Macaca mulatta: one gene and its partners. The protein of the gene in region 2 interacts with the protein of the main gene of each other region in a biochemical or structural test. Links are inferred from orthologs where the notes say so. Each region holds a gene or a part of one and is shown on either strand. Other genes may lie near its edges.

Evidence for each region.
Region 1: the proteins of ZBTB16 (region 2) and SIN3A form a complex in vitro, tested with the Homo sapiens proteins (3 studies listed by BioGRID). The link is inferred for Macaca mulatta from reciprocal best matches to the Homo sapiens genes ZBTB16 and SIN3A.
Region 3: the proteins of ZBTB16 (region 2) and HBEGF form a complex in vitro, tested with the Homo sapiens proteins (2 studies listed by BioGRID). The link is inferred for Macaca mulatta from reciprocal best matches to the Homo sapiens genes ZBTB16 and HBEGF.

The regions. Positions count from the first base shown.
Region 1 is NC_133412.1:53,412,349-53,415,477, forward strand, and holds the end of SIN3A (paired amphipathic helix protein Sin3a), read right to left. Parts: intron 1,851-3,129; coding exon 1,620-1,850; 3' UTR 621-1,619; downstream 1-620. UniProt on the Homo sapiens protein: Acts as a transcriptional repressor. Corepressor for REST. Interacts with MXI1 to repress MYC responsive genes and antagonize MYC oncogenic activities. Also interacts with MXD1-MAX heterodimers to repress transcription by tethering SIN3A to DNA.
Region 2 is NC_133419.1:114,807,358-114,811,104, forward strand, and holds the start of ZBTB16 (zinc finger and BTB domain-containing protein 16), read left to right. Parts: upstream 1-1,152; 5' UTR 1,153-1,321; exon of another isoform or gene 1,322-2,018; intron 2,019-2,805; exon of another isoform or gene 2,806-2,900; intron 2,901-3,747. UniProt on the Homo sapiens protein: Acts as a transcriptional repressor. Transcriptional repression may be mediated through recruitment of histone deacetylases to target promoters. May play a role in myeloid maturation and in the development and/or maintenance of other differentiated tissues.
Region 3 is NC_133411.1:149,204,426-149,208,172, forward strand, and holds the start of HBEGF (proheparin-binding EGF-like growth factor precursor), read right to left. Parts: upstream 2,212-3,747; 5' UTR 1,953-2,211; coding exon 1,907-1,952; intron 1,710-1,906; coding exon 1,536-1,709; intron 1-1,535. UniProt on the Homo sapiens protein: Growth factor that mediates its effects via EGFR, ERBB2 and ERBB4. Required for normal cardiac valve formation and normal heart function. Promotes smooth muscle cell proliferation. May be involved in macrophage-mediated cellular proliferation.

The DNA of each region.
Region 1 (3,129 bases), on a different chromosome or scaffold from region 2:
AAAACATTGCTGCTTACGACTAAGACTTGCGGAATGGTTGCTGAAGAAAAATCCGCCAGAGTACTGGGAGGGGCTCAGTTGGTCTTTGTTCAGAAAGTCCAGGTTAACCACATAGAAAAATTCTAATCATTCATGTTTAAATGCTAGTTTAAATTTATGTAATTAAAAAAATAGGTATCCCATTTCAAATTCTCTCCCTCCCAACCCCATTTATAAGGTATACCACATGCCTTATACACACTTTTTTTCAAATACTGGTTTGGTATTTAAGTTGCTCACCCCCATCCATCACCAATGTGAATAAGAAAAAATATATAGAAATACAAACTACATAGCTTGACAACTTACCCAAATATAAAATATTTTCAGATAGTTGAACAAGGGGAAAAAACATGTACTAAAAGACTGAAGTATTCTAAGATTTTGGAATATTTTGATTTGGAACAAGTAACAAGTATTTAAAGCAAAATCCTGTTTCTACCCTGGATAAGGAACTGAAACCAAAATCCCTGCTTCACAGTATTTTCTGGTGAGGACAAGGGACGTGGGTTGAGAGTTTATTCCTTAAGTAAGAACCAAGCTTTATTTATTTACAAAAAAAAAAAAAAAAAAAAAAAAAAGTTGGGGGCAAAGGGGAAGACAAGTTTTACACAAAAGTACTACAATGGTAACTCCCTTTGGTAAAAAGTGTAATAAATGTCTTGTACATCTGTTCATAGGTACTAAATCTGAAGCCACATAGTACTATGGTACACAAGAAGCTAGAGCAATTATGCTAGCACATCAAAGCATATTTCTTTTAATAAAAAATTGACAGTATGTACATTATGTACAAAAAAACAAGTTAAAATCGTGTGTGTGTGCATGTGTGTGTCAGAGAGTAAAGCTGGTGGATGGCACTAGGGTAGACTAGTAAAGAGGCAGATACAAAACAGTTCCACGGGAGCTAAAAAGGACGACTGATTTGAACTCGTTGAGGTTGAGAACCAAAGGAAAGGGTAGGCAGCAAGGGATTCGTCAGGAATAAAATCCACAAGATGATCAATCCCAAAGCCAAACTGCAGGTCCCAGATAAAACCTAATGGGTGATCTTAGATGTGCTCAAGTGACCAGAAAAAAAAAAATCAAATCCAGTTTTTTTTTTTTTTTCCTTTTGTGGGGAGGGGAGAGGAGCAGTGACCATGATAGTTCCAATCCATCTGAGTATTAAGTCCTTCCCCAGTCTGTTTTGTAAATGCATCTCCATCCAGTCAAAAGTGTGAACAGCATCCGGTTCCCTCACTGAAAGTTAGGCCACAGGAGACTCCAGTCTTAGCTCTGCTGGTGTGTGCAAGCAAACTGCACGTCTTTGCTTGCAAGGACTTCCTTCCCCTCCAGGGCAGGCTATACCCAAAACCCTTTGGAAAAGTTCCAGCTTCAGCTTTGTAAGGTATTCATGTTCCTAACAGGTAGCCCACTTGGTGCCAGGCTGCACCAGCCACACACAGGTCAGGTGGCCATGTCCCAGAGAGGCCCAGTGAGGCTTGAAAGGCATCTTCCTTGTTTCTTCAGTGTGTGAATGCATAGGCCTACACACACACCCCCACACACACCCCAAGTTATCTGCTCTGGCTTTGCAGTTAAGGGGCTTTGAATACTGTGCCGTATTTGACACGATACTTGTTAATGCTCACAAAATGCAGGGTCTCTGTATCACAGGTGGTGGTACAGGGCACCAGGCCCTCCAGCCCCTCACCCATGAGCCACTTGCTGGTCTCTGCTGCCATTTCACGGGGCACATGCTCCTTGGTCCATTTATCTACCCAGGCCTGGAATCTCTGATGTAGACGCTTGCTTACACGCTCATGGGACTGCAAAACAGAAAAAAAATATTTTTTATTAAATGAAGCAGAACCAAAAAAGAGCCCTTCAAATACAAAGCCTAATCTTCTTCTAAAGGAGCAAAGGAGAGATTGGGCTCAAGTCTTAGATACTGTTTTTGTTTTTCTTTTTAAAAAAAAAAAAAAAAAAGCTTCTCTGTTTACAGAGAAGTTAAAGTAGTAAGAACATAGAACATGTGAGGGCATGAAAATCCATAACGCCTCCAAAGAAATGTGAACACAGGCTCTGGGCTGAAAAAGCTCAGTGTTCTCAATTTTAGCATGCATTAGTATAACCTAGGGAATGTGTTAAAAAGACACATTTCCGACGAGGCGCAGTGACTCACGCCTGTAATCCTAGTACTCTGGGAGGCCGAGGCAGGCAGTTCGCTTGAGCTCAGGAGTTTGAGACCAGCCTGGGCAACATGACAAAACCCCATCTCTACAAAAATACAAAACTTAATCGGGCATGGTGACACAATCCTGTAGTCCCAGCTACTCGGTAGGCTGAAGTGGGAGGACCGCTTGAGCTGGGAGGTGGAGGTTGCAGCGAGCTGAGATCGTACCACCGCTCCCCAGCCTTGATGGCAGAGCCAAACCCTGTCTCCAAAAACAAACATACAAAAAACCCAAAACCCCACATTTCCTTGGTTTTACCAATCTGCTCTAATGTATCCTGGGTAGGACCCAGTGAGCCACTGATCACTTCTATCAGCATGGAGATCGACTTCTAAGCCAGATAGTGCAAAGCAAAGGGCTTAAAACCCACTCTCCCTCCATTGTGTTACCCCACCCTGGCAAGCAGAGTCCAGGCTTGCCAGATCTTCTGCAGGGGGTTCTGTTCCCACCAACACACCCAGTAAAAATTTATTGGTGACCACATGCAAGGATACTAGAAGAGATACAAAAACAAAACTGCTGTTGCCCAGTGTCCCAAATAATGTGAATCAGAGACAGGCAGACACACACACATAGCAAAAAAAATTTGTCAGGCGTGGTGGTGCACACCTGTAATCCCAGCTACTCGAAAGGCTGAGGCAAGAGAATCTCTTGAACCCGGGAGACAGAGGATGCAGTGAGCTGAGATCATGCCACTGCGCTTCCCTCCACGCCATGAGAGAAGTACAGCAGACTCTTGAATAACACGGCTTTGAATGGCACAGGGCCACTGATAGGCAAGTTTTCTTCCACCTCTGCCAACCCCGAGACAGCAAAACCAACCCCTCCCCTTCCTCCTCCCTCTTCAGCCTACTCAACAAGATGAGAATGA
Region 2 (3,747 bases):
CCAAAGAGCGCTTCCCACCTCTGGCACCCTACCTTCGCTGAGCTCCAGGGAAAAGAGGAGAGGGCAGCTTTCTGCAGTCAGAGGAAGGGTACATTTTCTTTGGCCTCTCTACCCTCTAAAGCAGGACGGCCCGCTGAAGGAGGACGCACTTCTGAGGGGCCCAGAGCTTTTCCAAGTTTTCCCCTGCCCCCTGAAGACTGTGCACTGAGCTGGGCGCAGTTGTCGGAAACTGTTTGCACCCAGATTGCTGGGGGTCGGGGGTCGGGTGCGGGCAGAGCCGAGAGGCTGTCCAAGTCTGAGAGAGAGAAAAGTTTCTCCCAGGACTCGACCTTGGCCTCCAGCAATCGCGACAGCTAAAAAGGGACGTCTCGCTTCGACAACAGATCTCGCGGACCTTCTGGCACCTGGTTCACCAGGACCCTCGAACTCTGCCTCGGGAGACTTCTTGAAATCCGGATGCTCAAGCCGGGAGGCGCGCAGTAGCCAGAAGGATGAGAGGCCCGGGTTTGGACTAGGAAAGCGGCCTTTTGAAACAGATGTCAGGGGCTACTGGGAATGCAGCCCAGAGCCATGAGAAAAAAGTTAAAGGCGAGATGACACACACTGAATTGGGGCAAACATTGGAAGAGGGGACAAAACTGCGTGCTTGAGCACCGGGGTGCGGGGGAGGGGGGACAAAACTCGTATCCAATGGAAATTAAAATCTTGGGAGGAGGTGGGGGCTCCTGCGCGCCCTTCACCCTCAGTTCCCCTATTAAGGATTCCGCGTCCCCTGCACGCCTGTCTTCTAGCTCCTTCCTTCCTCTCCGCTCGGCCGGTGAGCGGCGGCCGCCAGCGCCCCAGCAGCAGCTAGATGTCAGGCGAAGCCCGGAGCGCGGAGCGCGGGGAAGGGAGGGGAAGGGAGGGGAGGGGAAAGGAGAGGTGGGGCGGGGAGCGCGCGCGGGCTCGGCCAGTGCGGGGTGGTGGGCGGGCTGAGCCCGAGGACGGCGCGGGAGGGGGGAGGGAAGGGGGGCAGCTGTGGGCAGGGAGCCGGGCTCGGCCGCCAGCACTAAAGATGGAGAGGCGCCGGGGCCTTGCAGGGGAGGGGGCTCGGCGTTGACGTGGGACGCGGCGGAGGCGCAGCAGCCGGTGGTGATTTGCTAACCTCGCAGCAGAGAGGAGTTGAGGGCGATGAGAGCGGGTACTGCGAACTGCCGGGCGATGCTGTCGCTGCCGCCTTGATACGGAGAGCAACAGTTCCCCAGCAACACCCCTCCCCGACACAGGCACACACCCCCCGACAGGCACGCACACCCACCCCACAGTGCCCGGCTCGGCTGCGGTGAGTGAGGGGCCGGGAAGAGGCGCACCGCCGAGCGAGCGCCGCGCGCCGGGGCTCCCCGGGGCTGGAGAGGTCTGGGGGGCGCGCGCTCGCTTCGGCCACTCGGCCGCTGGGCTTGTGCCTTTTTTATTTGGCGTGTTCCCTTCCTGCCGCTGCAGCCGTCGCCGCAACCGGTTGGGGGTCGGCTAGAAGGGGGAGCCCCGGCTGTCAGCCTGGGCACAGCTGCCTCCCCAGCCCTTCCTCTCCAGGGCACGGTCGGGGTGAGAGGTGGGGGGCGTAGCGGTCTGCGGGGGCTGAGGGCGTGAGCAGAGGGTCGGGGATCCGGAGGCTTTGTACCGCCAGGGGCCAGCGGAGGAACAGAGCCCGTGGGTGCTCTTATGTATGCGGACCGGTGCGCGGGCGCGAGATAGGGTTGTGGTTTATTTATTTGTGTGTCTATTCGCCGGCCGGCTGGGAAGCTAGAATCGGAGGAGCTGACGAGTAGATCTGGGGGCGGAGGGGAACAGGACTGGGACTGCTTATGTTTTGTTTCTGTTTGAAAAAACGTGGTGGGCTTTTTATTGATTGGACTTGATCCCCCCCTTTTGCAGGGGAGGGAGGGAAGCTCCAGAGGGTCTCCAGCGCTCCGGGCCCTCCTCGGCTCTCGACGGGACCGGCGGTGACACCGGAGCTCGCCGTGCGCTCCCGGCCGCTCTCGGTGGGTGCGGGTCTCTGCACCTGATGCGTTCGGGATGCCTTTCCCACCCTGGCGCGCCCGCCGCTAGCTCGCACAGCGCGTCGCACACGCCCGCACGCGCTTGAAATGCGCAGGGTCCCGCCGGCCCACGGACCCACTGGGACGCACGGAGCGCTCCGCACCGACTCGCTCGCCGCCTCCGCGAGACGCTCGCACGGTGCCTCGGACGGGCGCGCCGGCCGCTGGCGCCGCTGGCCAGAGGCCGGGGACCCAGCCGGTCGCTTCCCGGGGGTCACGGCCCTGGGTCGGAGAGGGAGGGCGGGCAGACCCCTTCTCGCCTTTCCTCCTACAACTCGTTTGCGGGGCTTTTGTGCTTCCCCTTCGCCGCGGGGCGGGTCCGCCTCCCTGCTGCTCTCCCCGCGGAGTCCAGCCCGCCCGGACTGTCGCCTTTTTTCCCAGTCTCTTTCGCTTTCCCTCGTCCCTAGCCCAGCTCTTCATCTTTCAGGCGTCTAGCTCCTCGGGAAAAGTTGCTTCCCCAAGTTTGCTGAAGTCGTCTCCAAGTCTCGGTGGGGGGTCGCTGGGAACTGGAGGCGTGTGAGAGCACGGTCGATCCCCGGAGCTCAGGCGGGTTATCGCCGGTTCTTCCCCGCGCCGCCCGGCTGGACGCTGCAGCCAGCGCCGGCCGGATCGCGGGCGCCGAGCGGCGGGTGGGGAAGACGGCTGCCCGTGGGCGCCCCGATTTCCCTCAGGACCCAAAGGGCTTGTTTTGGGGCGCCAAGCTTCCATTCTTTTGGCTGTTCCCTCCTAGTTCTCAGAAGCCCCGGTGTCTGCGGGAAAGCACGCGGTGGCCAGGCTCTGCTGAATGTTCATCCCACCCTTGACGGCCTCCGTCCCCACCCCGGGGTAGGCAACAAAAGTGTCTTGACCAGCCATCCTGTGAATCCTTTCTGCGTGAGCTTGGTGGCTCCTGAACTGATAGAGCTTCTTTTGGGGGTGGAGGCAAGCAAGCAGTGTTCGAAGAGTGAGGGAGAGACCTTGCTGTTCCTTGCTCTCAGTGCATTCACTGCAATATTGGTCGCTGCAAGGCAGACACGGGGAGGGCCCTGGGCCTGCGCGGTCTTTCTAACACTCGTTAAGCGGGGTTTGGAGTCTAGGAGCCCTCTTATTGATCCCGAACAGGCTCTGGGAGAGGCCTTTGTTTCCCAGCCCTGTCTTCCCTTCGTACTGGTTGTAACTCACACCACAGATGCTGGTGCCAATATCACTTCCAGCGCCTCTGAGCCATGTCCGGCATCCCTTGCTGCCCCTGGTCACAGGACTTGCAGACTCCTTGGAGCCTGTGGGACACACGTGGAGTTCACACACCCAGCCCAGCATGAGCGCTCCTGGCTGTAGGGGAGCATATTTACTGTGGTCTCTCTCCATACCTTAATGATCCATCCTTCTTCGTTTTTTAGATCCTCCTGTCCACCGGGCAGTTGTGGGCAGGACGGTAGGTACGGCCCCTTATATAAGTGTGTGTGTGTGTATGTAAAGACACACACACACGCTTTTTTTTTTTTTTTTTCTGAGACGGAGTTTTGCTGTTGTTGCCCAGGCTGGAGCGCAATGGCACAATCTCGGCTCACCGCAACCTCCGCCTCCCGGGTTCAAGGGATTCTCCTGCCTCAGCCTCGCTAGTAGCTGGGATTACAGGCGGGTGCCACCGCGCCTGGCTAATTTTGTATGTTTTGTAGAGACGGGGCTTCTC
Region 3 (3,747 bases), on a different chromosome or scaffold from region 2:
ACCGTGGGCAAGTCACTTAACCTCTCTGAACCTCAGGTTCTCAGTAAAATGTGGATAGCAAGAGTAACTATCTCAAAAGGTTGCTATAAGTGTTACATTAGCCAGGATAACATATCAAGTGCGTAGAACACAGTAGGAATTTAATAAATGGTAGCAGTCATTTATTTTAGGTGGTAGGATCCCCAGACCTGAAAAGTAGTCTTTGCCCAGTAAAGCCAAGAGAAGGAAAGAAAAAGAAGTAGGTGCCAGCAGCCCCACAGTCCTTCATTTCCTCTCATCCAGTCCCAGGCCCCTTCAGAGCTCAGAAGACGATATAGGTGGTCAGAGGAACCCAGTGACCAGAGCTTCGGGGAGAGTAAGGCAGGGGGGCCAAGCCAATCAGAAAGGGGAGGGAGAAGGTGCAGGGTGACAGCCAGGCTCCAGCCATGGACAGGGAGCAGTGAGTCAGGTCTGCAGAGGTATGAGGAGCAGCCATGTGGGTGGGGGGTGGGGGTGGGGTGAGTCACAGCCCAGCCCTGCCCAGCCTAGGAGGAGAGGGCCAGGAGAATCCAGGCTGTTCAGGCCATGGGCAACCCCAGAGGGCTGCTGGGAGAGGATGAAGTATGGGAGCCTAGGCTCAGTTTTGGAGCATGTGTTTGATTTATACAAAGTAGAGAGAATACCCAAGGGAAGCTCCTGGGAAGGCGGGAGAAGGGCAGCTGAGGAGCAGGTTGAGCTAGAACAGGTGGGCATCTGTCCAACCAAATATAGTCATTCCGTGGTACAGTGCTGAGTCCTTGCTCTACCCTGGATAATCTCCTCAGGTCTGGAGGCAGGAGAGCTGGCAGGCTCTGGACTCTGCCCTGTGCCTGTGCTTGGCTACAGCCAAAGAGGCTGGTTGGAGGATTCTACACAGCCCTCCCCATTTGGAGTCGCCTCAGGAAAGCAAGGTGCTCAGTAAGCCTGCAGGTTTCCGGTAGCATTCAGAGATACCCAGCATTTTAATACAGCCCCCTAGAGGCCCAGCGTTCACCATTCACAGCCTCACCTAGGGCAGCCAAGAGCTCCTCATTCCTCTCTGTTTCCCCAATCTGGAGACAGGTGGATGGAGGAGGCTAACACTGCACACTTTCTATAGAAGTGCCTGGGCATCTCCGCATCTGTTACCTCTATTTTATATACAATAGTCATTTGATGAGGGAATTAGAACTGGTGCCCATTTTTACATAGTAGCTCTAGGGAAAGCATCTCAACCATTCCTTGTTCCTATCACTCAGCTTACCCAAGAAGCACGTAAGGACCCCAGACAACTTGCCTGTTTCAGTTTGCCCCAAAGTACCCAGAAGGGCGGCAACCCAGCAGGGGAGGCAATGACAACAGAGAGAGTGGGACCTATATTCCAGGATCCCCCAGTGCCCTTCAGGCCGATCAGCTTTTCCCCGAGGTTCTCCATGAATACTCTCAACCCGCAGTATTGCCCAAACAGCAAGAATCTTGGATCTGCTTATTCTTCAACAGCCCACCCGGGTCCGAGGATGGGCGGCCTCCACACCCACCTCTCAAAAGGTCCAGATCTGCCTCTTGCAAGTCACGGACTTTCCGATCCCGGCCGCCTCCTAGGCGTAGCAGCTGGTCCGTGGATCCAGTGGAAGGGTCCGGGTTGCTGGTTCCAGCAGCTAGCCCTCTCCGAAGCTGCTGCAGGCTCTCGCCAGTCACCAGTGCCGAAAGAACTGTGGGCGAGGGGCCAGGCCGCATCAGACACCCGCCCAGACCCCCGACCAACACGCACCGATGCCGACGCCGGTCCGCCAGAGCGCAAGGGCCCCACCAAGTGGCCCGTGCCGGGTGCGCTGCGGCGACCTTCCCCCATGCCCCCAGCACAGCGCCCCCATCCCCCCGATCTCCAGGGGCGTCGCAGCCCTCCTACCTGCAGCCAGAAGGAGCTTCAGCACCACCGACGGCAGCAGCTTCATGGTCCCGCACCGAGAGGAGGCGGCGAGGCACCAATCACTTTCGAAGCGGCGGCCACTGGGCGCTGGCACCGGAGCTGGGCGGTGGGACTCAGGAGATTCCGCTGGGCACCGTCTGCCGCCGGCTTCTGCGTGCAAGCCTGGCCGGGACCCCGGCGCAGCTCGCTCTTGTTGAGTGTCTGTCTTGGTCACTCCGCCCGCCCGCGCGGCCGCCCGACCCCGCGCGCCTAGGTCAGGCCAGCCAGCAGCGTGGCCCGCGTAGCTCCTTCGGCCGAATGAGCGCTGCCCGGCGCGCGGCCGGGAATAAGGCTCCGGGAGGCGCCGAAGCTCCGCCCCTCCCGGCGCCGCCCCCTCCCTCCTCCCGTGCTGGGAAGCTCGCCCGGCTGGCGGCGCCGGCAGCTCAGCCCCCGACCCCGCGGGCGCGGCGGGGGACTGGGCGGGAGGAGGGGGCGGCGCTCACATTTTTTGGGACCAGGCCGAGGCAGCCGCGGCCTAATTGTGGGTAGGGCTGCTGACCGGCAGGTGGCGGGGAGAGGTTCCTACCTTTCCCCAAACGCCTGTCGCTCTGCAGCCTTGTGACTGACTGCTGAGCTGAGTTCTGTTCCGGGCCTGGCCTCTTGCTTCGTCTCAGCTCCATACCAGGGGTCTCCATCCCTGTCACCCTCTAAGTTTCAGAAGCCCACCTTTTGGCCTACCAACACGGCAAGTATCAGATAATAATTAATTCATTTATCATGTAAAAATTAGACACATGAATGCCAGCCGTTCTCATAAACCCGAGATAACCAGAGTTGAAGCTGCAGGCACTTAGCAAAAGCAAAGGAAGCTAGTACTCTACCAGTCGCTGGAGTGGCTTCCTCCCATCTTCCCTCAGGGGACATTAAGATTTTTGAACTATGGGTTGTAATTCCCAGGCTTCTGAAATTGGAGAGACACAGGTTGTGAAACAAGCCTTATTCTTTTCCTTGCCTTTGACTGCCATCTTTTTCCTCAACATAAAAAATGAGCCTCCCTCCCATAGGACCCAGCTGGCTAACCTAGATTGCTGGTTCACAGGCACCAGGTGTTTCTCTTCCAACCCATGTGCTTTTACAGGGGTCTTCTGGAGTCACTGTCCTGACCAAAGAGATGAGTCTCTCAGTAGGTATTTCAGTTTCCAGGGACGTGGCTGGGGCGAGAGTTGTTTGACATAGGGCTGGGTTGGCTTTCAGAGCCCTGAAATTGTGCCAGATAGAGCACTTGCCTGATTCTGCCTGTGTGTAGGGATAAAAACAGGCCTGCTATTTATACACAGTCTATCCCACTGTCCTTCCCTATCCCCACCTTTGCAGGGGTCAGTCTGGCCCTGCCCTCTTAACTTGCTCCAGTAACCCAGGCCTAGGTTTCCATAGTGCACTGGAATCACTACAGACCTGAGTTTGAATCCTGCCTTTGCTACTTACTGTGTGACCTTGGACAAGAAACTTAATTTCACTGAGCCTCAGTTTTGACATCTCTCAAATGGAAAAAATAATAACAATAATAATAATGACTACTTTGTAGGGAGCTTTTTGAGAAATGAATGCAGGAACACATAAAAGTAGTATAGTGCCAGGCACACTATAAGCTTTCAATAAATGTGACTCATTATTATTGTTGCTGTTAATAATAATCACTAATCACTTGACCACTCTATTTCCTTAGAGGCCTCTTTTCTCTCCCTTCCCTAGATCCCTTGCCTTCCCCAGGCCAGATCTGAGGCTTTATGGTATAGTTGGGCTGGTTTCAGATGGAAGCTCACCTGTCACCTATTTGGCTA